6 linked regions of the Rattus norvegicus genome follow. The protein of the gene in region 1 interacts with the protein of each later gene in a pairwise test. Links are inferred from orthologs where the notes say so. Each region holds a gene or a part of one and is shown in the gene's direction. Other genes may lie near its edges. The genes, in order: Spry2, Zdhhc17, Otx1, Prkab2, Hsd3b7 and Ubash3a.

What was found.
Region 2: the proteins of Spry2 (region 1) and Zdhhc17 interact in binary tests that used the Homo sapiens proteins (3 or more experiments, as listed by UniProt). The link is inferred for Rattus norvegicus from reciprocal best matches to the Homo sapiens genes SPRY2 and ZDHHC17.
Region 3: the proteins of Spry2 (region 1) and Otx1 interact in binary tests that used the Homo sapiens proteins (3 or more experiments, as listed by UniProt). The two-hybrid records come from large-scale screens. The link is inferred for Rattus norvegicus from reciprocal best matches to the Homo sapiens genes SPRY2 and OTX1.
Region 4: the proteins of Spry2 (region 1) and Prkab2 interact in binary tests that used the Homo sapiens proteins (3 or more experiments, as listed by UniProt). The link is inferred for Rattus norvegicus from reciprocal best matches to the Homo sapiens genes SPRY2 and PRKAB2.
Region 5: the proteins of Spry2 (region 1) and Hsd3b7 interact in binary tests that used the Homo sapiens proteins (3 or more experiments, as listed by UniProt). The two-hybrid records come from large-scale screens. The link is inferred for Rattus norvegicus from reciprocal best matches to the Homo sapiens genes SPRY2 and HSD3B7.
Region 6: the proteins of Spry2 (region 1) and Ubash3a interact in binary tests that used the Homo sapiens proteins (3 or more experiments, as listed by UniProt). The two-hybrid records come from large-scale screens. The link is inferred for Rattus norvegicus from reciprocal best matches to the Homo sapiens genes SPRY2 and UBASH3A.

What each region holds. Positions count from the first base shown.
Region 1 is NC_086033.1:89,109,127-89,113,211, reverse strand, and holds the start of Spry2 (protein sprouty homolog 2), read left to right. Parts: upstream 1-1,285; 5' UTR 1,286-1,810; intron 1,811-1,883; exon of another isoform or gene 1,884-2,989; intron 2,990-3,369; exon of another isoform or gene 3,370-3,535; intron 3,536-4,085.
Region 2 is NC_086025.1:48,317,201-48,321,374, reverse strand, and holds the start of Zdhhc17 (palmitoyltransferase ZDHHC17), read left to right. Parts: upstream 1-1,374; 5' UTR 1,375-1,413; coding exon 1,414-1,506; intron 1,507-1,512; exon of another isoform or gene 1,513-2,219; intron 2,220-3,809; exon of another isoform or gene 3,810-4,174. UniProt on the Homo sapiens protein: Palmitoyltransferase that catalyzes the addition of palmitate onto various protein substrates and is involved in a variety of cellular processes.
Region 3 is NC_086032.1:100,287,622-100,291,697, reverse strand, and holds the start of Otx1 (homeobox protein OTX1), read left to right. Parts: upstream 1-1,276; 5' UTR 1,277-1,419; intron 1,420-1,728; coding exon of another isoform or gene 1,729-2,048; intron 2,049-2,095; coding exon of another isoform or gene 2,096-2,183; intron 2,184-2,511; exon of another isoform or gene 2,512-2,794; intron 2,795-3,428; 5' UTR 3,429-3,537; coding exon 3,538-3,634; intron 3,635-4,076. Other genes in the region: collagen alpha-1(III) chain-like, read right to left, coding at 1-45, 222-456, 637-871, 1,729-2,048, 2,096-2,183. UniProt on the Homo sapiens protein: Probably plays a role in the development of the brain and the sense organs. Can bind to the BCD target sequence (BTS): 5'-TCTAATCCC-3'.
Region 4 is NC_086020.1:187,949,009-187,952,508, forward strand, and holds part of Prkab2 (5'-AMP-activated protein kinase subunit beta-2), read left to right. Parts: intron 1-953; exon of another isoform or gene 954-955; coding exon of another isoform or gene 956-976; coding exon 977-1,143; intron 1,144-2,407; coding exon 2,408-2,501; intron 2,502-2,709; coding exon 2,710-2,830; intron 2,831-3,500. UniProt on the Homo sapiens protein: Non-catalytic subunit of AMP-activated protein kinase (AMPK), an energy sensor protein kinase that plays a key role in regulating cellular energy metabolism.
Region 5 is NC_086019.1:191,841,263-191,845,487, forward strand, and holds the start of Hsd3b7 (3 beta-hydroxysteroid dehydrogenase type 7), read left to right. Parts: upstream 1-1,425; 5' UTR 1,426-1,482; intron 1,483-1,830; 5' UTR 1,831-1,836; coding exon 1,837-2,002; exon of another isoform or gene 2,003-2,078; coding exon of another isoform or gene 2,079-2,112; intron 2,113-2,211; coding exon 2,212-2,367; intron 2,368-2,581; coding exon 2,582-2,690; intron 2,691-2,763; coding exon 2,764-2,863; intron 2,864-2,980; coding exon 2,981-3,143; intron 3,144-3,565; coding exon 3,566-3,981; 3' UTR 3,982-4,225. UniProt on the Homo sapiens protein: The 3-beta-HSD enzymatic system plays a crucial role in the biosynthesis of all classes of hormonal steroids. HSD VII is active against four 7-alpha-hydroxylated sterols. Does not metabolize several different C(19/21) steroids as substrates.
Region 6 is NC_086038.1:9,324,690-9,327,840, forward strand, and holds part of Ubash3a (ubiquitin-associated and SH3 domain-containing protein A), read left to right. Parts: intron 1-276; coding exon 277-421; intron 422-1,134; coding exon 1,135-1,241; intron 1,242-2,486; coding exon 2,487-2,596; intron 2,597-3,151. UniProt on the Homo sapiens protein: Interferes with CBL-mediated down-regulation and degradation of receptor-type tyrosine kinases. Promotes accumulation of activated target receptors, such as T-cell receptors, EGFR and PDGFRB, on the cell surface.

The sequences.
Region 1 (4,085 bases):
CTTAGTCCAGCCACGGCCAGAGCGTATGTATTTTCTGTATTTTAAATAGTTAACTATAGTCCGCTTCCAACAAGAACAGGAGGAACATATATGAGAATGTTCTAGGTGACAGATAGTGGGATTTGAAAGATGACGCTCTTTTTATTTATGGTTTCGCGAAGGAGGACTTCTGTAGGGAAACAGACCCCCCCCCCATTTCGGAAGTCCATGATGTCGCCCTGAGTAATCGCGTGGGTATTACAGAATTAATTTAAAAGGTTTTTTGCATCGAGCAAAACAATACAAAAAAAATCTTCAAAAGGCCTCCATCTATAGATAACCCCTCTTAAAAATGAAATTCTAACAAACTACAAGTCCACACACAATCAAAAGCCAATCCCAGTCAGAGCAGAAGGGACTTGAAACCCGAATCTACATTCCGTTCCTCCCGTACAAGGCTCGGAGGTGGGGGAGGCGGGCTGTGCTGGTGCCCGGTGTATAATCGGGTTAATCCAGTAGACAAAGAATAAACCAATAGCCCTCCCACCTCACTTCCCGCTCCCCTTTCCCTCCCCCTCCTGCTCCCACCCCCACCCTCTTCGCCCCCTGGGCATCGGTGGGGGGTGGGGTGGGGGAAACACAGGAGAGAAGAGGTAGAACCGAAATGGATTCCAAATCGAATCCAAAAAGCTGCAGCTCGGCTTTCCACGCTAAGGCTGTGCGGCCGGGTTAGTTTGCAACGTCCCTCCTTCTCCTCTCCCGGCGGCGAGGAAGAAAGTTCCCTAAGTGAGCCCCAGCCCGCGGCTCGTGGCCTCTGGGGGGGAAACCCTTAAGGTCAGTGTTTCCTTGAAACTAGATAAACTGACCTCGCGGCGGCCAGCGCGGCCCCGCGTGACGGCGCCCGGGCTGCAGGAGCGACTGGGGACGCGCGGGGCGGCGCGGTTGCCCTTTTGAATGCCTCCTGCGGCTCGGAGCGCTGGCGGGCGCTGGAGTGCGAGTGAATGTAGCCCCGCGGAGCCAATGAGCTGGGACCGGATGCGATATATCCTCTGGGACAACAACTGCTCTGTTCCGCCTCGGATCCACATGACGCCATTTACTGCTGCCGCGGCCGCTGCAAAGCTCCCTGCCTCCTCCGGAAAGGCGAGGGCGCAGGCCAGCGGCGCCCCCCCGCCCGCCCCCCATCCCCGGCCGGGCCCCAGACCCTCCTCCCCCGCCGCCTCCTCCTCCCCCTCCGCACCCCCACCCCCGCCTCGGCTTCGCCGCCGCGCCTCCGCAACGCCCAGTCTGCACGAGCGAGAGCTGCGCGCCGCAGCGCCAGCGGAGGAGAGGGGCCGGCGGAGCGCGCAGCGCCCAGGCCCCCGCGCGCGCCCGGCCCGGCCCGCGGCCCCGCGCCTGCCTCCGCTCGGAAGCAGCCCCGGGCCCCCAGGACTTGGCGAGCTGGCCTTAGGTTCTTTGTAAGGCCGTGCTCGCCTCGCTTTCTCTCATCGACCAGGAAAAAAAAAAGAGAGACTCGCCAACGTTGGCGCTTCGGCCTCTTGTTCATTGAGAAAAAAAAAGGGAAAGAAAAAAAAAAGGCAGAGGAAATACTCCGCGTGCGCTTCTGGAACGGAGGTCATCTCTCTAGCTCGGAATCCGGGAGGGTTCCAACGGTGGAGGATTTGGCTTCCAAATTTTCCCGTGGTTTTAATCCTCCCACCGACTGCTTGGAAGTTGGACTGAAGCAGAGTTTGGAGAGAAGGAAAAAGTTTGCATCGGGACTGGATTTATTTGCACATCGCTGGAAGAAGAGAATCCAAGGGAGAGGGGTTGGTGCAAAGCCGCGATCACGGTGAGGAGCATTTGGCTTTTCCCCTTCTGGAACCACAGCCGGCCGGGAGTGGGGTCCGGGTTCCTCTCTCCCCCTAAACCCGCAGGCTTCCCGGGAGGATCAGGAAGCTATCCCGCGGATCTGCTTCGCCTAGAACAGGGGTTCGGCCACGGCCGGGCTACAGGGTGCGCCGGTGCAGTGTCCCCCGTCCCGCGACAGCTCACTCTCTTGCGGGGTTTGGGGCGTTGGACCGCTTCACTGCGTTCTACTCCTACCCCTGCATTGGCGACGATTCAGTCGCCGAGAGCCTTAGAGGGAGGGAAAACACTTTGTGTTTTCCAGGTCGCTGTTGCAGGCTCTGGCATTGCTAACCTGTTCTTCCATTCGGTGGAGGCTAAGTTATAGGAGAGCTAGCCTGCGGCGGGGGCGCCTGTGGGGTTGGGGTACTGGGCTTCTCACCTCTCCACCTCACCGGGGCCGAAGCCCGGCGGGCGAGCAGAGGGTAGAGTGCCAAGCGGAGGGAGTCCCCGCCTCTGCCCGGTGTGGACAGTCTAGCCCGGTGCGGGTGGGAGCGTCGCCCAGCCTGGCGCCGCGTCTCTGCGGTTCGGAAGTGCAGCTTTCTCTTTTTTTCCGTTCTTCGTGGTCGGCCTAGGTCACGCTTTTTTTTTTTTTTAAATATATTTGGACACTTAGGCTGACCTAGACAGGAAGAGAGTTATCAAGTGGTCGCGGTCGGTTTCCATTACCTGAAAGTAGGTGGCAAAATAAAAAGGCTAGTTCCCCCCTCCCTCTTTTGTGTTACTGTTTTTAAGATTTGGAGTCTTAACGCCTTTTTTACAAAGGGGTTTCTGTGTCGGTTTGCCCCACCCTAGTGCTGAAGTCCTTTCCCCCTAATCCTTAGTCTGATCACACACTGTTCTTAATGGGGGTTTCAAAGCACTCTCAAAGGGGGAGGGAGAGGAACTGGGAGAGCGCAGAAGGGTGGAAGGGGGGCGCCTGCGATGGAGGCGGCCAGGGATCTGTAGAAATCACTTTTTTTTTCTTCCGAAGATGCTACTTTCCCTAGCAATCAGGTCCTCACGGAAAGTTTCCAGTCCGGGGGCTCAGAGTTCTGCATGCCTGGCGTGTGCAGTCTGGCTCTGGATAAAGCTATTTTTCTTTCGTTTTAAGAATCATGTCTTATTCCTGATCTAAAAAGAGGTAGGCGTGTGCAGATTGCAGACAGTGCCCGCTCCGGTCATTGCACCGTGGAGTCGCCCTGGGAGCGTGGGTCTATAAGACCTCCGTGCAAGCTGTGCGTCCTGAGCCAGGCTCTCTTCCTCAGGGCGTCGGATTTGGAAACTTGTGAGGACAGGCGTTTTGAGGGCCTTCGCTGAAACACCTTGTGGTGACCTTGCAGCGGGGGTGGGCGTGTTAAGAGTGGCTCCCCCTCTTGGGGCTGGATGGCAGTTCCTCTTGGGTTGGGGGAAATTTTAGCCGCGGGGGTGGAGGAGGGGGAAGTGTGCTCGTGCCTTGCATGACACGTCCCCTTCGGAGGCGCCCGCGCCCCCTGCCTGCCTGAGCTTCTGCGGATTGTACACGGGAGGGGCCGGTCTGGCCCTTGGACCGCATCAGTCGGCTTGGAGAAAAGTCCCCCGGGGTTCTGGCTGAGTCCCACCTGCTGGGGACTGTGTGGGGGCGCTGATAGAGCCGATAAACGGGTTGGGTTGAAAGCGAAGAACAGCCTTGTGTACCTTGCTGTTGGAGGTGAGCAGATCCGGTTTTCAGCTCTGCCTGGTTTGTCACCTGCCTTGTTCGCTGTCCTTTTCCAAAAAGCAGAGGTTGGATTAAAAATCCGGTTTTGCATCTTTCCCTTTGTATTTTCATGTGGACTCGGGTGAGGGGATGGGATGGTACTTCCTAGACCGAAGCATGACTGTAATTTTTAAGTTCACTTGACAAGATCATAGGTTTCCACTGTAACACTTCAGATTTCTAAAACTTTTCTTGTTGCTGCTACTTGCTTGGTGCTCTCGGGTATTTTTCAACACGAGGAAATAATTTATTTTTTGCATGCTTTATTTGTAAAACAAGAGAATGACTTGTGGTTCAGAACCTAAGGCATGCATAGGCTTTGGGTCTTGTAGGATGTTTGGTTCACGAGTTGTGGTCTTATATGAGTTTGTTTTCCTGTGCTACCTAGTGGGATCCGAAATGATTTATTTTAATTATATAACTTTGTGCTAACATGCTTATTTAAAATTTCACCTTAATTGCCCTTGAAATGTACTTTTTATGTCCTAGTCGTCCTAGGAGA
Region 2 (4,174 bases), on another chromosome or scaffold:
TAAACGGAGAACTAGAAATTCTGTTTAGGTTTGCATGGTTTCTGGTTTCTGCCAGGACGAAAAAAGAAAAAGAAAGAAAAAGAGAAGAAAATCGGTCCGTGCCGGAAGGAAAAGCTGTGCTGAGAGGATACACACAGATACAGCCAGCTCCAAAGAGAACAGAGATCACTTCTTTTCCCCCCCACCAGAAGGAAGCAGCTATAAAATAGCATATTCATCCTTTTCCGAGTGAATACTGCCTTTTTACCGACGATTACTAGGTCTACTTTGCCATTTTCATTCGTTACTGGGAGAGCCCAGTACTGAATTGTCCTAGCTTCAGGATCTTGTCCAATGCCTTGTTACTCCCGGCTTTTCCTCACCTCTTTAGAATCGATGATGTCCAATCCAGAACGGATCTCGGCTTTCCCTAGACCCTCCTCAGATTCTTTTGGCGGGAACACAAACCTTACAAAAGGGTTTCCTCTTCCATCCCCCTATTCTTTTTTCCCTTGTTATGTCTTCCGATTTACTATCAAATCTGGTTTCGTCCGACTGCAGGTTACCCCCGTCCCCCCACCCCCACCCCGGTGATCTTTAGCTGATTTGGTTTTGAGAGGGTTACTAGCAGAATCTCTAATCAGTCCTGTGTGACAATCGCTCTCTGCTAAATGTGCACAGGCTCCGTCGAGATTTACAATCCCTAGTAGCCAAAACCAGAAAATCCTTTCTACAATTGTTCTATCAGTCCCCTCCCAACCCTAAAATCCTCTTAAAGACGGCTTTAATCATTTTTATCTAGGTCACACTCTAGAGCTTTCATTTTAAAAGGTTTCACTTTAGAATTCCAGAGTTCTATTAAAATGCAGCAGATGGAACCGTGTGGGGCTTTGACCTTGTCAAAACGATGATTTAAAAATGTCCTAGCTCAACTGCAAGAGGGCATCACATAACAAAAGCTTTTCCAGGAAGCCACTTTTTGTCCTTGCTTCTCCGGGTATCCCCAAGGCACAGGCACCGAGGCGAGAACGCATCCTTGGTCTCCGGGGTCACACCCTAAGCCCTCGGCCGGGTCCCGACCCTGCCCTATGCGGCGCGGGATCTCGGTGCTGACCCGAGCGCAGCCTTGCCCTGGTAGCCGGAGCAGAGCAGCATCTGCTTCCGACCGGGACCCGCCCCCGGGCCGCGGCGCCCACGCCCAGCGCGGTCCGCTGCCCCGGCGCAGTGCAGCAGAGAGCACACTCCCGCTCGGCGCACGCGCATCGAGACCCGCGCCCTCCGCGGCGGGAGGGGCTGAGGGGGCGTCCGGGGGTTCGGGGGAGGAGGAGGAGGAGGAGGCGGCGGGCCGCGTCGCCCTCATCCGGGCTCGCGCTCGCCCTAGCGCTCGCCCTCCGCCTTGCCGAGCCCCGCGAGGCTGAAACGCTTTCTCCCAGCATGCAGCGGGAGGAGGGATTTAACACCAAGATGGCGGACGGCCCGGATGAGTACGATACCGAAACGGGCTGTGTGCCCCTTCTCCACCCGGAGGTGAGGGACCGCGCCGAGCGCCTTCCCGGCCCTGCGGCCCAGCGGCTTCGCTTCCCCAGCCTCGCCCGGGGCGGTGGCTGATGCGTCCGCGCGGTGACCTGTGCGGGACCCGGGGAGGCTGAAGAAGCGAGTCCAGGCCCGAGCGCGGCGGCGAGCGGATAACGGGGGAGGAGATAGCGGGGCGGGCCCGGCCGGGGCGGGCTCTGGGACGCCGTCCCTGGCGGTGCCTGGAGGACAGAGGTGGGGATGGCGATGGTTCTGTTTTGTTGCTGCGTTGCCTGCGGGTGCAGAGGCGACGGAGGCCTCCTGACACTTTGGAACCTCGGCTGAAGTCCCTGGTCTCGCTCCAAGCCTCTTCAGGGAGAAGAAGAAGCCTATCTGCTTTTGATTTTCTTCCCCTCTTCCCCTCTTTCTTGGTGGTGAATGACACTACCCTTCCCATTAGTTCACCCGTACCTGGGGGATAGTAGTTTCTTGGGCAAAGTGATGTCCTTCCAGGATATGGCATAGCAACCAGCTCGCCGCTGGTGACGGCGAATTTTGATGTATGAGTGTTTGCCTTTAAGCCATAAGAAAAGAGAGTGGGTCAGAACTTTCGGGAATAAACCCACGCACACATTAGCGTGTCACAAAGTAACGCTGTTTTGGGACTATTGGGAAGGGTAGACAGCGCAACACGTTTCCCACCGTTTCTTTTGTATCTTCTCATGAAAGTGAGCAGTTTTCTGTGCGGGATCAGTCACGTTCTGCAGTTGTTTACCTCCCAGCTTTGAGTTTGTGTTTAGTTAAGGCCTGGAAGCAATTCTTTGTGCATCCAGGTTTTTTAACCGTACGGTTCTATGTGAGGTGCGGGGAGGGCAGGAAAGAGTAGCGCAGTTTCCTGCAGAACTCTGGTCTTGTTTTGAGATTGAGAGTTGTGTACATACCCGTGGTGTTCACTACAGGGTGAACAAACGTGGTTACTTTGCGTTAGATTGGTTTTATTTCTTTATGGCTTTTGCATCTTCCTTTATTTTTCTTTTTATATATTGTGAATAACAAGGACCACTTTCGTATTAATACTCCGTTATTTCATAACTTGATCATATATATACACACATACATATATACATACACACATAGATGCATACAAATATACTACACACATAAATATATACACATATACACATTATCTATACTTACACAAAATGAGACAGTTTCTTAGAAATATATGCCAGGACAAGTCTCGTTAGAAAAGGATATTTTGGGTTTCTGACACAGCTATGTAGTAAGACGAAACTTTTTGAAAAATTAAAGTGTTAACAAACGTAGAATTGGCATTAGAGATTTCTTTTGGTTTACACCTAGTCCCTAGAAATAGGTCCAGGAACTTTTCTGATGTTATGTTGTATTTGTGGTTAAGGAATATTTCTGTTCATCTGTTCTGTGGGTATATTTCAAGCACTTAAAGTTTTTTATGTATTTTAATGTACTGTGACATTCAGTGGCAGTCGGATTAGGAGTTCAAAGCTCTTTGATAGTATGAATTGGAGGCCAGCTTGGGGCTCAATGAGACCAAACTATACACACACACACACACACACACACACACACACAAAACCAAAAAAAAAAAACAAAACTTTCCTTTCCTCTTTGTAAAAGTGTATGTCGTTACCCTAAACATAATTTTGCAGGGTGTGGTAATTCACATCCAGTATTTGGGAGTCAGGAATGTCCCTAAGTTCGAAGTCAGACTAATCCACTTAGCAAGTTCCAGGCCAGCCAGGACTGCATAGTGACACTGTGTCTCAAAACACTTTTTTAACCTAATAATAATCTAGAGATTGCTTGGTGTAATAGAGAGCTTGAAGTTTAGGTACCATGAGTTTGTTGTTTAACAGATGGTATGTTATTAGAAAATCAGCTTCCCCATTGTTCTCAGATGAAATTGATAAGATATAGATTTCTTTTACCAAGTAAGCACTAGGTCTAGTAAGTTTTAAGTTCTGTAACTTTGGGGACTGATTGCAATTGTTATTATTTTCTGTGGTTAGTTTCTTGCACCTGCTGTAGATCTAGTAGTGCTTCATTCCTTACAGTGTGTTAGGAGCAGAACAGGACAGGCTGTTTGTCTAGAGTTTTGTGAAATTGGGGTGGTGATGGTGGTGGTAGTGGTGGTGGTGGTGGTGATACTTAACTAATGGTCCATTAAGGAGCTAATGGAGCACATAGGCTTTTGTGTCCGACTGATGGGGATTACCATTCTGATGCTACTTCTGTTTGATCTCAATCTCTTCCTGCTTTTTTCCTTTTTCCTCTTCCAGGAATGGTGTCTTGTAGCCTTCAACTCCCTTTGTATCCAAAAATGACCTTGACTTTCTAATTCTCATACGGTGGATCAGCTATGTGCCGTAACTTCCTGTCTATGCAGTGCTGGGGAGTGAACCCAAAGCTTCGTGCATACTAGGCAAACCGTGTTGCTAGCACCTCATCCCTAGTGCTGGATTCTAATTTGGAATCCTCAGTAATTAAAGGAAGAAAAAACGTCTTAAAGTTTCTGTTTGTTCTTCAGACAATATCGATATTTCCAGACTGTGTTTAACCATATGGGAATGTAAGTCAGAATTCACGAATGAACACATTTTAGGCACTCTGGTAAGGTCATCTTTCCACTTTCACTACTAGACAT
Region 3 (4,076 bases), on another chromosome or scaffold:
CCGAACTCACCCACGCACACACTGTGGTTCAAACTTTTCACCCGCCTGTTGGGGTGAAAGTGGCAGAAGATGAGGAGAAAGGACTAGGAAAGGGTGTGAATGTGGTCCCTAGTAGTCAGTAGGAGATGCCATGCTTTAAAAAAAAAAAAAGAAAGAAAGAAAGAAAGAAAGAAAGAAAGAAAGAAAGAAAGAAAGAAAGAAAGAAAGAAAGAAAGAATTGCCTTGTTCGGGGTTGGGCCGAAAATATTCTTTCCTCTCGCTTTGGAAAGTACACACAGGTAGACGATCTCGGCAAGTTTATTCGGCTGGAACCTGGGGTCCGCCAGTACGAACAATCCGGGGAAATTATTTCGAGGAGGCTCCTCCAGGAATGTGTAGAAAATGAAGTGAGGGGGATCGGAGTGTGTGGCCACATTTCCCACCGGACTGTCCTTTGTAGGTGCAGACCTGGAGAGACTGAGAGAGTGGAGAGTGTGAAAAAGAAAGTTTTCTATCAAACCCATTCAGTGTGTGTGTGTGTGTGTGTGTGTGTGTGTGTGTGTGTGTGTGTGTGTGTGTGTGTGTGTGTGTGTGTGTGTGTGTAAGATCTGAGTTCCAACGGTTCCGAAGAAGCAAGCTTTTAGGACGTGCGAACACCTTTGGTGGGGACTGCCTGAGAGCCCCTGGAGACGCTGAGCAGCTGGGAAGTGGCGGCGTCTCCCCAGCCGGCGCTCTTTCTGGGCGCCAGAGTCCCAGGGCGCCCCGGGGCGCCCTGAGCGCCGAGAGCTGCACCCCATCCCAGGCTCCGGCTCAGCAGCCCGAGCCCGCACGAGCCGCCCGCGGTGGCCGCAGGTTGTGGGGAACGGAGGAAGCACTGGGGCCCAGGGCGCAGCTAGGAGTGCCAGGGGCCAGCACGCCCCGAATCCGCGGCCCGGGAAGCCTGGCGCCCACAGAGCGGCGGCAGAGCCCGGCGGCGCGCGCGCGCGAGCAGGAACCGGTTATCCAGCAGCTTGACGCCACTCCTCCGGAGCGCGGCCCGGGCGAGGGGAGGGTGGGGGCCCTCGGGCGAGCCTTGGGACCCGGGGCCCCCTCTGCGCCTGCGACTCCAGCGCTGCCTTCACCCTCCTCGACTCCTTCTGAGCGGAATTTGCCACCCGAGCTCCGGAGTTAGCGCGCGACCGGGGCGGGGCCGGCGCGCGGGGAGGGAGGGGGTGGGAGCGAGGGAGGGCGGGGGCGCGCGGAGGTAACCCCGGCTCGCGCTGCCATTGCCCGGCTTCCTGTCACTCAGTCCGCTCTAGGCCCCCTATTGGCGGCCGGGCCCCGTTACGCACTCGCCTCGCGTTCACATACTCGGGGAGGGCAGTAGAAAGGTGATCAATCTTCATCAGGCTACATTTCCAATCACCTAAACAACCGAGCAAGACAAGCCACTCCGACAAGGTAAATTGCTTGATTTATTTAGTTTGCCAAGTGACTATGCAGGATTTCTCCAATCCCTACCGCCTCCGGGTTGCACCGAGAGTGCAGCTGCCACCTCAAGCCACCTCCTAACTCTGTCCCTCGAACACCCCCACCCACCCACCCCACCCCCCGGGTCCCGGGCGAGGCCGGGTCTTGGGAGGAAAAGCATGTGGGACTTTGCAAACAAAGTGTTTGTGCAATAAAGTGAAACCCGGAGGGACACGCACAGAGCTACTGGGAAAAAAAAATGCAGGAGACGGGAAGAGGGAAGTTGGGGAAGAGGAAAACCTGGGGTCCTAGCCCCGCCGCCGGGGTAACACCTGTGCGCCTCCGTTTTGCAGGTTGGCTGCCCGCGGGTCTCGGTGAGGGCGCGAGGTAGATGGTGAAGAGCCGCGGCAGCCGAGGGCAGGTAAGGAGGGAGTCGCGGGGCCGCGCGCCACCCGGGACGATGGTGGCCCCTCTCGCCTCCCCCTCCTGGAATCCACCCTCGCTACCGCGGTCCCCTGCAGGTGGGCGGGGCTGGGGTGAGAGACCAGGCGCCCCTAGGCAGCCCGAGGGACCCCAAGCCGCGCGGGAGCCGGCCGCCCCCTCCCCCGCCTCCTCCGAAGCTGCGGAGCCGGGGTGCTAAGTTAGACGAAAGTACTCGAAAACTCACGCCGCAGCCGGACAGAGCCGCGGCGGCTGCGGGCCTGTGGCCCTTCCGCCCAAGCGCCTCGGGTCCTTCCCTTCCCTTCGCCTCCCATGCTCACTGGGCCCCCTCAGTCCAGGCTTCGGGTCCCCTAGGACTGAAGCGTGGGGGAAGGAGTTGTGAAGGGGGAGCTGCTTTAGTCCTACCTTCCTTTCTCCCCAGAATCTCCCACCCTTGGGTCCTGGCAGAGCGGGAAGTAGCTACGAGCCCCCCTCCCCACGGCGGTCCCAGTCGTAACCCCCAGAAGCCACCACCCCCCCTTTTTTTTGCTGGGGGAGAGCTGTGTGGGCTCGCAGTGTCTGCGCCGAGCCTCGCGCTCCCAGGTTGGCTGTGAGTGAGTTTTACAACCTGAGGCCTAGTTCCTTGCTCTCCATCGGGTTCAGAGAGGACGGCGGGAGAGAGGCGACCTGCAACGCTCGGCCTTCCGAAATCCCTAGCATGTTTGGGGCACTGGGTTGATCATCTTTTATCAAACCCCGGTGGGACGCGGTGTGCTCAGCAGACTTGGTAGAAGGAAGGCCCGGCCTGCGCCAGCAAAGGAAGAGGGGTGACCGTCTTGGAGGTACCCCTGACCTTGAGCGGCGTCCTGAAACTGCCACTTCTACCGTGGCTCCTTTGGAGTCTTGTTGCCGCCTTATCCTGGCCTGGGCCGCATCTGCCCTGGAGGTGCGGTGGGATTCATGTTCATCTCTCTTGGCGTCAGGGACCCAGAGAGGTCAGCTAGAAAGGTGATTGCAGGCTCTGGGTAGGAGGCAGCCCTGAAGATCTTTGAAGAAATGACATGGCCAGTGAGCCTCGGGGATCCGAGGTGTACCCACCTTGGGCCTCTGTATTGCTTTGCCATTTTGTCCCTCTTTCAAAAAAAAAAAAAAAAACATTTCAAACTAAACGAAATAACCCCGTATCTCTCTGTGCGGCCTGCCCTCTCGGCGCCAAATGAACATTTGCTTGAGCAAATTGCTTCCGCCGCACTAAAAAAATTTGACTACACTTGGGATTTTGCACCCTTCGCGGTCTCGGCTCTCACCTCCTCAGCCTGATCACGCTTTAACTTTCCTTCCTGTTGACACTCGAGGAGTGTCTTTGGCCCTTGTCAAGCCCTAAAAGAGGAAGGAACGAAGCGGGGAAAGTTTACTTTCTTGAGAAGCTGTGTGGCTGCCGAGCTAAAGGAGGAGACATTTCTCTCGGGTTGCCTGCTGTGCAGTTCCTAGCATGCGCCCCCTCCCCATTCAAGGATTATAGGAGCTGAAAGCCAAACTGACTACGGGTGAAGGTTTCCATGTGTCTCCTGTCTCCCTAGGCCAGGCCCCAAGAAGCAACAGCTTGAAGGACGTCGCAGTGGGAGCCCTGAACTGCTCCTGGCCTCAGGCCCCCTGGATCCGTCGGGGCGCCTCCACCCGGCTGTTAGCATGATGTCTTACCTCAAACAACCCCCATACGGCATGAACGGGCTGGGCCTAGCTGGCCCTGCCATGGACCTCCTGCACCCTTCCGTGGGCTACCCTGGTGAGCAGTGGCCCTCTGTCCCTACCCCCCAAGCCTCTGGAAATATTGGGGGTTCCATCCCCTAAAGTTTGAGCCCACGCTGTCCCCCGACAGACCCAGGAGGGTGATTAGCACGCTGCCTGTTGCCTAGATCTGTTACAGGCAGATCTGGAGCCAAGGTCTGCTCAGAGAGCTTAGAAACTGCAGCCTACAACTTTTGCTCTGTGGAGTCTGCGACCTGGGTCCTCTTGTGTCCGCTTGCTAAGGAGGGCATGTTCTCCCCGCACCCCTCCCTCAATTTATTTCCCTCGGTTGCTTTTTCTAATTTTTTTTTTTTTACAAAAAATTCCTTCCCTCGTTCCAATATTTCATGCGGAATCTGGGCTTTCGCTAGGCCCCAACAGCCAAATTTTCCTTAGGTCTAGTTTCCCTGAGAAGCAGTTCTTTCTCCCTAGTTAAAGAG
Region 4 (3,500 bases), on another chromosome or scaffold:
TGCTTGACCTGGTACCATGCAGTCTTATTTACCAGCCAGTGAAGCCATTCCATAGGAGGGGTGAGTAAACCTTTTCTGTAAAAGGCCAACTAATACACATAATTTAGGGTCATAATCTCCCAGGTCTGCATGGTGGCAGTGAGCTGTAGATGACAGGTACACACGTGCATGGCTGCTTCCAAACGGAAGCTTTGTAAAAGCAGTCTGGCTCACGGCTGCGGTTGGCCCACGCCTGTCCTGAAGGATGGCCTCGGAACCCTATAAATCCCATTAAGTAATGGAACTGCTTTTGCTCAAGGAAGCTGCTTTTGATCTTGTGCTCCTAGAGCTCCAGGATGTCATGTATCGTCCTGAGGTGATTTTATGAACCTGGCCTAAGTAAGCAAGTAAGGTTTCATAACCACTTCAGCTCTACCGGGTCAGTGATGTGGTTTCCGAATTCATGTCGATTGATGGATGATGGTGCTAGAGATGAAACTCAGGGCCTCAGACTCGGTAGGAAAGTGCTCTGCACTGAACTACATCTCCAACCCTTTAAATTTTAATGCCCTATTGTACAACCAAGTAGCTAAACAGCATTGTTAGTTACTTAGGAATTTTGGTATCTCTAACTTTAATTGTAACTGCCAGAGAACTGTTTGCCTCTGAAAAACATGTAGCTGGCTTAATTTTCTTTTAAAGAACCATACTTTCTTCTAGTTCCTTATGAGGTGTTCAGGAGCATATCCTAATTGCCTGCATACAAGCTGAACTGGTAGTCTGAAGGAAGGGTTTTGGGTGATCCAAAGGCTCTCTGAGGAGACTGATGTGAGCCATAGTTCTTTTCTATAGTTTGTTCATTCTCTGATTTAGTTGCTGAATTTGGGCTGTCTCACTTTAGTTGAAGCCTAATTTAATGCCCCTTAAAAACCTTTGGGACATCTTAAAAACCCTTGGGTCATAATTTATTCTAGGGATGACCTACTCCTTCTTACAGCTCCCTGGGGACAAAGAGTTTGTACCCTGGCAGCAGGATTTGGATGATTCTGTGAAGCCCACCCAGCAGGCCCGGCCTACTGTTATCCGCTGGTCTGAAGGGGGCAAGGAGGTCTTCATCTCTGGGTCTTTCAACAATTGGAGCACCAAGATCCCTCTGATTAAGAGGTGAGGACAGGCATTCTGTTGAGTCTGCAGCATGCAGGAATCGGCACCTAATTGCCTTTTTTTTTTTTATAATTTATTTAATTTATGTGAGTACACTGTAGCTGTCTTCAGACACACTAGAAGAGGGCATCGGGTCCCATTATGGCTGTGAGCCACCATATGGTTGCTGGGAATTGAACTCAGGACCTCTGGAAGAGCAGTCAGCACTCTTAACCGCTGAGCCATCTCTCCAGCCCGATTGCCTTTTAAGAAGAGAGAGGGCCTCAGGAGTTTCTAACAGCACTGTGTGTGTGCCATTCAGGACCGTGCTTCTCAAGCCATTTCCTGTCTGGAGGAAGCCTGGAAATCACTAATCCTGTTGCTTTGATTTCTGTATTAAAGTAAAATACATTGTGACATTCTAGGTATAATGCCAGTTATCGCTGACAACACAGTAGTGAATGATGTAAGTGGTTGTCAGAGTGACCCTCTACATAATGGGGTCATTTTCCAGAAAAGACTCACCAAACTATGGAAAGGGTACCCTGAAATATTCCCAACCCAAACCTATCTTTTATGTTAATCATATTTGTGAATACTGCTTTGTGTGTAACGTGTGTTTGTGTGTATGTGTGTACATGTGCATGCATGTACATGCAGACATGTGTACCCATATGTGTGCATGTGAAGGCCACAGTAAGCCCCAAGAATCTTCCTCTGTGGCTTTCAGCCTTGTTGCCTTGAGACAATCTCACTGAACCACAATATCTCCATTTCAACTAGTTTTACTGGTCAGCAGTTGATTGGGGTCTGCCTGTCTCTGCCCTGCCCCCGCCCCCTCCCCCAGTGCTAGAGTTACAGAGGGGTGTGTGTGTGTGTGTACCCATGCCCAGCTTTTTCCATGGATTCACACTCAGGCCCTGAAGCTTACAACAAGCACTCATAGTGGCTGAGCACAACTCCCTAGCTCTAAGAAATCTAAACATTTTGGCAATCACTCCCCTCCCCGCCCCCAACACACACACACACACACACACACACACACACACACACACACACACACACGTGATGGAGAACAGAGTTAGTGGGAGAGGTTGACAAGCACATGTGTTGACTGATACAGAGGCAGAGAATGGATTTGTACCGTGGGGTGAGGTGAGCACAAGGACTGTAGCTTAGGAAGCCTTAGGAGGCCATTGTAGTAGCCCCATCATTTCCTCTTACTTTTTCACACTCTGTCTTCTTAAGGAACTTGGCCTATTTGACCTTCTGTTTTCTTCTCTAGTCATAATGACTTTGTTGCCATCCTGGATCTTCCCGAGGGAGAGCACCAGTACAAGTTCTTTGTGGATGGACAGTGGGTTCATGATCCATCAGAGGTAAGGCCTGGATTTGCAACGGAGCCTCAGTGGCTTCCTTGTGACTCACTACCCTCCAGTTCAGTGGGCAACAGGCTTCCTACTAGGGACTTGTCATAAAAGTAGAGGGGCACTTGGGTGATGATATAGATTTAAAAGGGAATCCAATTTTATTTCATTTATTTATTTGTTTGTTTATTTGTTTGTTTATATTTCTTCACTGTTTCAGCCTGTGGTTACCAGTCAGCTTGGCACAATTAATAATTTGATCCATGTCAAGAAATCTGATTTTGAAGTATTTGATGCTTTAAAGTTAGATTCTATGGAAAGCTCCGAGACATCATGTCGAGGTAATATTATCCTATTGCTTTCTCTTGCTATGTCTTTCTTACAATGCATATTCCTTCCCCAAACTGGTTTCTTGTTTTATTTTGCATTTTCATGTTTTTCTCGGAATCTTATAATCTCACACACACACATGTGTGCACACATGCTTGCACACAAGTCCCATGTGTATAATGTCTGCCTTTCTTACTCTGACACACTGTTCTCCATTTTACCTTTATGTAATCCACCAGTAGTCTGCGGTATCAAATGCTATTTCCAGTAAGATTTCACACTTTCCGTGAGCATCTGGTGATATTACCTGTAGAGGCTAGATGCGTCTAGTTTGTCTTATTAACCTGAATCAGCTAGTTTGGGAGCTCAACTGGCAATTATGATTTTATGAGAGCCTACAACTATAATTGTCACTGAGGGAGTGTGAGAAAAAAAACCAAACCAATAGTTGCTCTATGTAGAATTGAATCTGCAGGGACAGTCCTGGATGTTTTGTTTCATGTGTACTCCTTCCCCCAGGTCTTTCTAAGTGCTTGTTCACTCCGACAGCAGAGGCACATTGTCTTGTTACTGTATGGTGGGAGGTGTGCCTGCCTGGAGAGCTGCACACTTTATCCGCTGAGCAAAGAAAATGAGACAAGGCCCTTGTTTGCAAAGCCTGCCTCTGCTACTAGTCATGCC
Region 5 (4,225 bases), on another chromosome or scaffold:
GCTGGGCCGGCCAGGGCTGGGCAGGGCTGGGCAGGGCTGGGCAGGGGGGAGGTGGGGTTGTGGCTCACACTGTCCCTCCTGCAGCCCAACTGCTATGCTAAGGTGATCACCATTGAGTCTCAGAAGAAGATCGTGATCTACTCAAAGCAGCCCATTGGCGTGGATGAGGAGATCACCTATGACTACAAGTTCCCACTAGAAGACAACAAGATTCCATGTCTGTGTGGCACTGAAAGCTGCCGTGGCTCCCTCAACTGAGGTGGGGCAGGACCGGTGCCCTCACCCCTATTTATTCCCCCTTGGTGCCCTAAGCTCCCAGCACCCCCAGCCTTATTGGGCTCAGCAGGGCCCACTGCCCCCACCTCCACATGTGGGATAGGGAGCCCTGAGTCCAGCAAGGGAGCCTCAGTCCTTTGAGGTTAACTTCTGCCTTCCCTATACCCCATGCCCAACCGCCCTCTTAATTTTTTTTTCTTTGCGAAGAAGAAGCTGTAAATGTTTTGTAGCTGCCAGCAGCTGTTTCCTGTGGAAACCTGGGGTACCAGCCTGTATAGATGCTATTCTTGGGGGCTGCATAGCCCTTTGCTTCATGTTAATGGGGACTTCCCCTTCTGCCCTATGTGCACCCCTCCCCAGTTTAGGGGTCTCTGGGGCAGTGGCCATGTTCTCCCCCTGGGGGGGCCTTTGGCCCCTAGTCCTGGGAACTCTGTGCCTGGAACCCTGCCTCATCTGTTCCTGCCAGACCCTGTGGGTCACCCTCCCACCCTGGTGTCTCAGGGCTCTGGCTCAGTAGGCCAGGATGGTGGGGGGCAGGCCCTTCTTGTTGGGCTGGACTGTACATAGTGTTAATAGTGAAACCCAACACCACATTTTTATAATTGTGATTAAACTTTATTGTACAAAAATGCCTGGTCAGTATCTTTGGGAAGAGCAGATTGGGGGATGCAAGTTGACACTGGGTGAAGCAAAGAGAGGAAAAATGATGGCCTGGAGTTTGGGTGAATCAACCTGCAGACACAGTGCTGCTCTGGACCAACCACCTAATAGGCTGCAACAACCATGCCACTATCACCATGGACGCCAGCCAGAGTTATATAAGATCAGGTTTACCTCACTCTTCCTCCCCAGAACCACAGCGGGTGGTTCTATTGGGAAACCCACAGGAGGGAAGGACCAAGGTTACATAGCAGTGATGAGGTACCCTGTCTGCTCTACCCCACTATCCCTAAATACTTCACATTACCAAGTGGGCAGGTGCCCCTGGAGGGTGGACTGGCCACCAGGGGGCACTCTGGCAAGAGAATTCCCTCCAAACTGCCTTGCCCGCCCCTAGGGGTGGAGGCTGGCTGGTCTCCTTCCTGGAATGAGCCAGGAGGGAGGAGCGAGCGGAAGGAAGGAAGCCTGTGTGCATCTAGCTGGTCCACCAGTCCAGGACACAACATCTCCCAGTGGCCAGTTTGGGCGCCCTGGGACTTCCTACAGGTAGGCAGAGGTGGTACTGAGGCCCGGCTGGCTCTTCTCTTACTTGTTCTGAACCCTTCCAACCTCCCTGTCCAACTCCTTGCTTTCTCTGCCTATCCTTGCTATCTTTGCCTATCTAGTCATTTTTTCCATCTGTCTCAGTCCCTAATCCCTTTCTGTGTCCAATTCTAGTGACTCAGCAGTTAGGGTCAGAGGGCAGGGAGCCTTAGTGCTACAAGCACAGGAAACGAACCCACAGCTACTGCTCAGCCTCTCCACCCACCCACTGCTCCCACCTAATAGCTCTCTTCTAGGAACAGTGGAGCAGCTGGGCAGGCAATTCTAGTGAGCTAAATTCTCTTCCCACAGCTGGCCATGGCAGACTCTGCACAGGTGCCAGCACTGGTATACCTGGTCACAGGTGGCTGTGGCTTCCTGGGGGAGCATATTGTTCGAATGCTGCTGGAGTGGGAGCCCAGGCTCCGGGAGCTGCGTGTCTTTGACCTGCACCTGAGTTCTTGGCTGGAGGAGCTGAAAACAGGTGACTGGAGTGAGGCAGTGAGGAGGAGGGAGGTCCCATCCCTTCCCAAACTGGGATACCTCAGCTTGTGGAAAAGATGATTTCTGTGTTTGTTCTCCACCCCACACAGGGTGAGTCATTGGTTCACGTGGCTCCCAGGGTATATGCAGGCCAAACTCAGCAGCTGGCTAAGACTCCAGCCCTGACACTGCCTCGCATCTCTCCACCAGGGCCTGTGCAGGTGACTGCCATCCAGGGGGATGTGACTCAGGCCCACGAGGTGGCAGCAGCCATGGCTGGATCTCATGTGGTCATCCATACAGCTGGGCTGGTAGATGTGTTTGGGAAGGCCAGTCCAGAGACCATCCACAAAGTCAATGTGCAGGGTGAGGTGCTACCTACCTGTTAATCCCCAGTGTGTGGCCTGACTCTGGCCAGTGATTTTTATGCAAGGACCTGCCTGTCCTTTTGATAACCTTGTCCATTCATTGCTGTCCCACCCTGTCCTGACCTGAGGTGGTTCCCCTTGGACACTGGGTGGGGTGGAAGGAAATCAAGAGGCAGGAAGACACAGCTTGCATCTGACCCTTCCCTTCACAGGCACACAGAATGTGATTGACGCTTGTGTGCAGACCGGGACTCGGCTCCTGGTCTACACGAGTAGCATGGAAGTGGTAGGGCCTAATGTCAAGGGCCACCCCTTCTACAGGTGAGCTTAGCCCCACGTAATCTCAGAGCCCCCTTTTCCCTCCAGCACTGATCTTTTCTCTCCCCCACTCTAGGGGCAATGAAGACACCCCATATGAGGCCATCCACAGGCATCCCTACCCATGTAGCAAGGCCCTCGCTGAGCAGTTGGTCCTCGAGGCCAATGGAAGGAAGGTACACAGCAAAGACTGGGGTGCAGAGGCAGAGCCCGACTCCCAGGCTGCTTTGCACCCATCTCCAGCCATAGTGGGGAGGGTGGGCACATCTTCCAACATCTCCCTCTGCCACCAGGTCAATGGAGGGCTACCCCTGGTGACATGTGCCCTTCGACCCACGGGCATTTATGGTGAAGGTCATCAGGTCATGAGAGACTTCTATCACCAGGGACTGCGCTTTGGAGGTCGGCTGTTTCGGGCCATCCCAGCTTCCGTGGAGCATGGTCGGGTCTACGTTGGTAAGGACAGGGAAAGGCAAGGGGAAGGCAGGGCGAGAGGACTGGCTCTGAAGGCGGCAGAGGCACGAGTGTATGCCTGGCCCCACGAGGGCAGGCAGACAGTGACTCAGGCAGACGGTGGGCATGTGGGCATTTTCTGCATGAGTTGTAAAGGAAAAAGTATCCACAGCAGTCGGGAGGGCCGACATAAAAACATGTCCTAGGTTCTGCCAAACACTGAAGCAATGGGAGCAACAGCTCCGCTGGGAAAGGGGTAGCATCTACATGGGAACCAAGTAGCTTCAGGACACCCAGGAGGGCTATGGCTACAGGGCCTTGGAAAGAGGCAACCTTGACTCTAGAGAGGTGTGGGCAAAATCTACATGGGGCAGACTAGAGGACTGGACCAAGGCCAGCTTCTCTCCCTCCTTCCCTACTGGTAGGCAATGTGGCTTGGATGCATATACTGGTGGCCCGAGAGCTGGAGCAGCGGGCAGCACTCATGGGTGGCCAGGTGTATTTCTGCTATGATAAGTCACCTTATAAAAGCTACGAGGACTTCAACATGGAGTTTCTGAGTCCCTGTGGACTTCGGCTGATAGGCACCCACCCACTGCTGCCCTACTGGCTACTGGTGCTGCTGGCTGCCCTCAACGCTCTGCTGCAGTGGCTGCTTCGGCCGCTGGTGCTGTACACACCCCTGCTGAATCCCTACACTCTGGCTGTGGCCAACACCACCTTTACTGTCAGCACCAACAAGGCACAGCGCCATTTCGGCTACAAGCCCCTCTTCTCATGGGAAGAGAGCAGGGCCCGCACCATTCACTGGGTGCAGGCCATGGAGGGTTCCGCCTGGTGATGGCAGGGCCAGGAACTGGAGACCACTGTGGCACACTCCAGGTCCTGAGCCCCCAAAAGCCTGGACGGAGAGAAATGGCTACCTTTTGAAGCTGCTGACTCTGCTAGACACATCAGGACTGTGCTATGGACCCTGCCACGTCTGTGCCTGGTTCATATCCCAGTCTCCAAGTTCTAGGACAGAGTCTGGGTGCAGGCCTATCTTTGGTGCCAACTCGGGCCTGCCAGCTAGTTGGCAAAAACTG
Region 6 (3,151 bases), on another chromosome or scaffold:
GCTGGAGAGACGGCTCAGAGGTTAAGAGCACTGGCTGCTCTTCCAGAGGTCCTGAGTTCAATTCCCAGAAACCACATGGTGGCTCACAACCATCTGTCATGGGGTCTGGCGCCCTCTTCTGGCTTTCAGGCGTAACTCCAGCTTGTGTCAAGTTGACAAAAAAAAAAAAAAAAAAAAAAACAAAACGCTAACTACCGTGCCGGGTCTAGCTATGAAGAAGCCTCTCTATGTAACGCGGATGGTAACTCCTTCGCACTTGTTTTCCATTGACCCAAGAGCTCAAACTGGAGAGGAGGCTGAAGATAAAAGTTGAGCCCGGAATCTTCGAGTGGATGAAGTGGGAAGCCGGCAAGGCCACTCTGACCTTCTTGACCTTGGAGGAGCTGAAAGAAGCAGACTTCAATGTTGACCTCGACTATAGGTATGGGTCTTGCAAATCTCGGCCACCGAGGCTTCTCCGGTCCTTGTTAAAGAAAATCTATCTACCGAGGTAGAGCCGTGAGGTGGGGGAGTAAGGCAGACTGGGCTGTGTATATAGTACCAGCAGGATCAGGGGAATGGGAAATGGCTTGAGGGTTACGGTTTTGCTCAACCAAACCGTCAAGACTCCTGGTGAAAGGGGCTGGGGATTTAGCTCAGTGGCAGAGCCCTTACCTAGGAAGCGCAAGGCCCTGGGTTCGGTCCCCAGCTCCGGAAAAAAGAACCAAAAAAAAAAAAAAAAAAAAAAGACTCCTGGTGAAGGCGGCTAGAGGTGATGGAGGTTGGGGAAACTGACCACATATAGAAGATGGGGTATTCCTGCTAAAAAAAGGGGATGAACACAGGGACCTCACCCAGAAGAGGGTCCTCACTCTGGTTTGTGAAGGGGAGTATCTTTGTCTTTCCCACCGGGTGACTGTCTCCAGGTGGGCTGAGATGTACGGCTTTCCTGTTTGGCCATCCTCCATGCTGGTGGTTCCCTTGGCCAGTGTGGAACACTTCCAGGAGCCCCTGCTGGCTGGGAACCCATGAGCCGTGCCCAGCAGGCCGTCTGGAGGATCATGGCCCCACTTGGCTGCTCCAGCACACTCTTGTTCACCAGAAGGCTGCAGAACAGCAGCCCATGTCTCTCTCTCTCTCTCCATCCTCTTTCAGGCCAGCATTCCCCTGCTGCTCCCTCTTGCCAGCCGAGAGCTATGACCAGTACGTGGAGAGGTGTGCCGTGAGCATGGGGCAGATCATCAACACATGCCCACAGGACAGTGAGTGTCCCACAAGCTTGAGGAGGACAGCCTCGGGCTTCCCTAGGATGGGATTAGCTGATTCTGGGCTGTTAGCGTCCCCACTTCCCAACCCCCATACTCTGGCCAAGACAGTATGTCATCTCCACCATGACAGAGTGTGGATGCACGCACACATATCCTATGATATCTTAGGGTTTTACTGCTGTGAGCAGATACCATGACCAAAGCGAGTCTTATAAGAACGACATTTAATTGGGGCTGGCTTACAGGTTCAGAGGTTCAGTCCATTTATCATGAAGGTGGGAGCATGGCAGCATCCAGGCAGGCACGGTGCAGAAGGAGCTGAGAGTTCTACGTCTTCATCTGAAGGCTGCTAGGAGAAGACTGGCTTCCAGGCAGCTAGGATGAGGGTCTTAAAGTCCACACCCACAGTGACACACCTACTCCAGCAGGGCCACGCCCACCCCAACAGGGCCACACCCACCCCAACAGGGCCACACCCACCCCAACAGGGCCACACCTTCTAATAGTGCCACTCCCTGGGCCAAGCATATACAAATCATCACACCAGGCTTGCTTGCTCTCATGCTGAGCATGAATGGACCTAGACCATCAGGGTCATCACAAACTATGGGAAAAGAGAAGCCCAGTATGACAGAGGGGTAGCCAAGGCCTAAGGAAAAGGAGGCATAGCCACAGCCCACCTGCCCTAACCATCGGCCAGCCATGCTCCCAGCTCTCCCACTTCACACCATCAACCACCATCTCTCCCAGCTTTCCTTTATCCAGCATGAGGCACACACAGAGGTGCCAGGTCCCACACCACTCTCCAGCTGTCTGGAGCCCATCATGTCACCTGAGGCATCTCCCCAGGTCCTGCTAACCCTTATCTAAAAGCAGGCAGCATCTCAGGCTCACCGTGATAAGCCAGATAAAGTGATTGGCTCGGGTCTTGGCGGCAGCCATCACACACTCCGCCTGTGACTGACAGGACCTAGGCAGCCATCCACAAGGACAGCGACTCAGATCATCATCATCCTTACGCCATCCTTGAAGCTGTCACACAGTCACCACATCCTAGCCCCGGGCCCCGTGTGACAAGGTGGTGTGCTCTAAGCCATAGCAAATGACTGCTCTTCCTACCCATACTCACCCCACCATCTCACCAGGGCACAGTAGCGGGACCCTCAAGACTTTGAAGAGACTTATAGGTTGCAAAGGGCTCCCTGGGCCTGCTCTGACCTTGAGGTGTTTTGTCAACAGTGGGCATCACCCTCATTGTGAGCCATAGCTCAGCGCTCGACTCCTGCACGAGGCCACTCCTTGGGCTCCCACCCAGAGAATGTGGGGATTTTGCCCAACTGGTAAGAAAGGTATGTGTCCCTCTTTTTATGCCCCTTTAACTTCCTTTTCTTTTTTTTCTTTTTTTTTTTTTTTTTTTCGGAGCTGGTGACTGAACCCAGGGCCTTGCGCTTGCTAGGCAAGCGCTCTACCACTGAGCTAAATCCCCAATCCCTGCCCCTTTAACTTCCAAGTAAAGCAAGCGTTTTAAAGAATGACGTGCCCATCAAACCGAGGGCTGGCAGGACTACGTGAATGTGCCCACCTGCTCCCATGGAGAGCATACCTGCAGGAGCTGTGGGGTAAGCCTGTCACCCTAACACCCGAGTGGCAGTCTCCCCGGTTCTTTGCAGTCAGCGATGTCAGGAAGTTTCAAGGTTTGTTCAGTGCTAGCCCATAGCTCATCCTCTGCAGCTCTAAGAGCACAACAAAGGTCCTATGAGGAGTCAGGAGACATTGTTTGAGTAAGAAGAGAAGGCTAGACCTTGTGTGGTCCTGCCTTCCTCTGTGGGGATGGGAGGGGGTGCTAGGAGGGGTGGGTACTGACAGATAGAAGGAACCTCCACCCACTCACCTCCTGAGTCTCC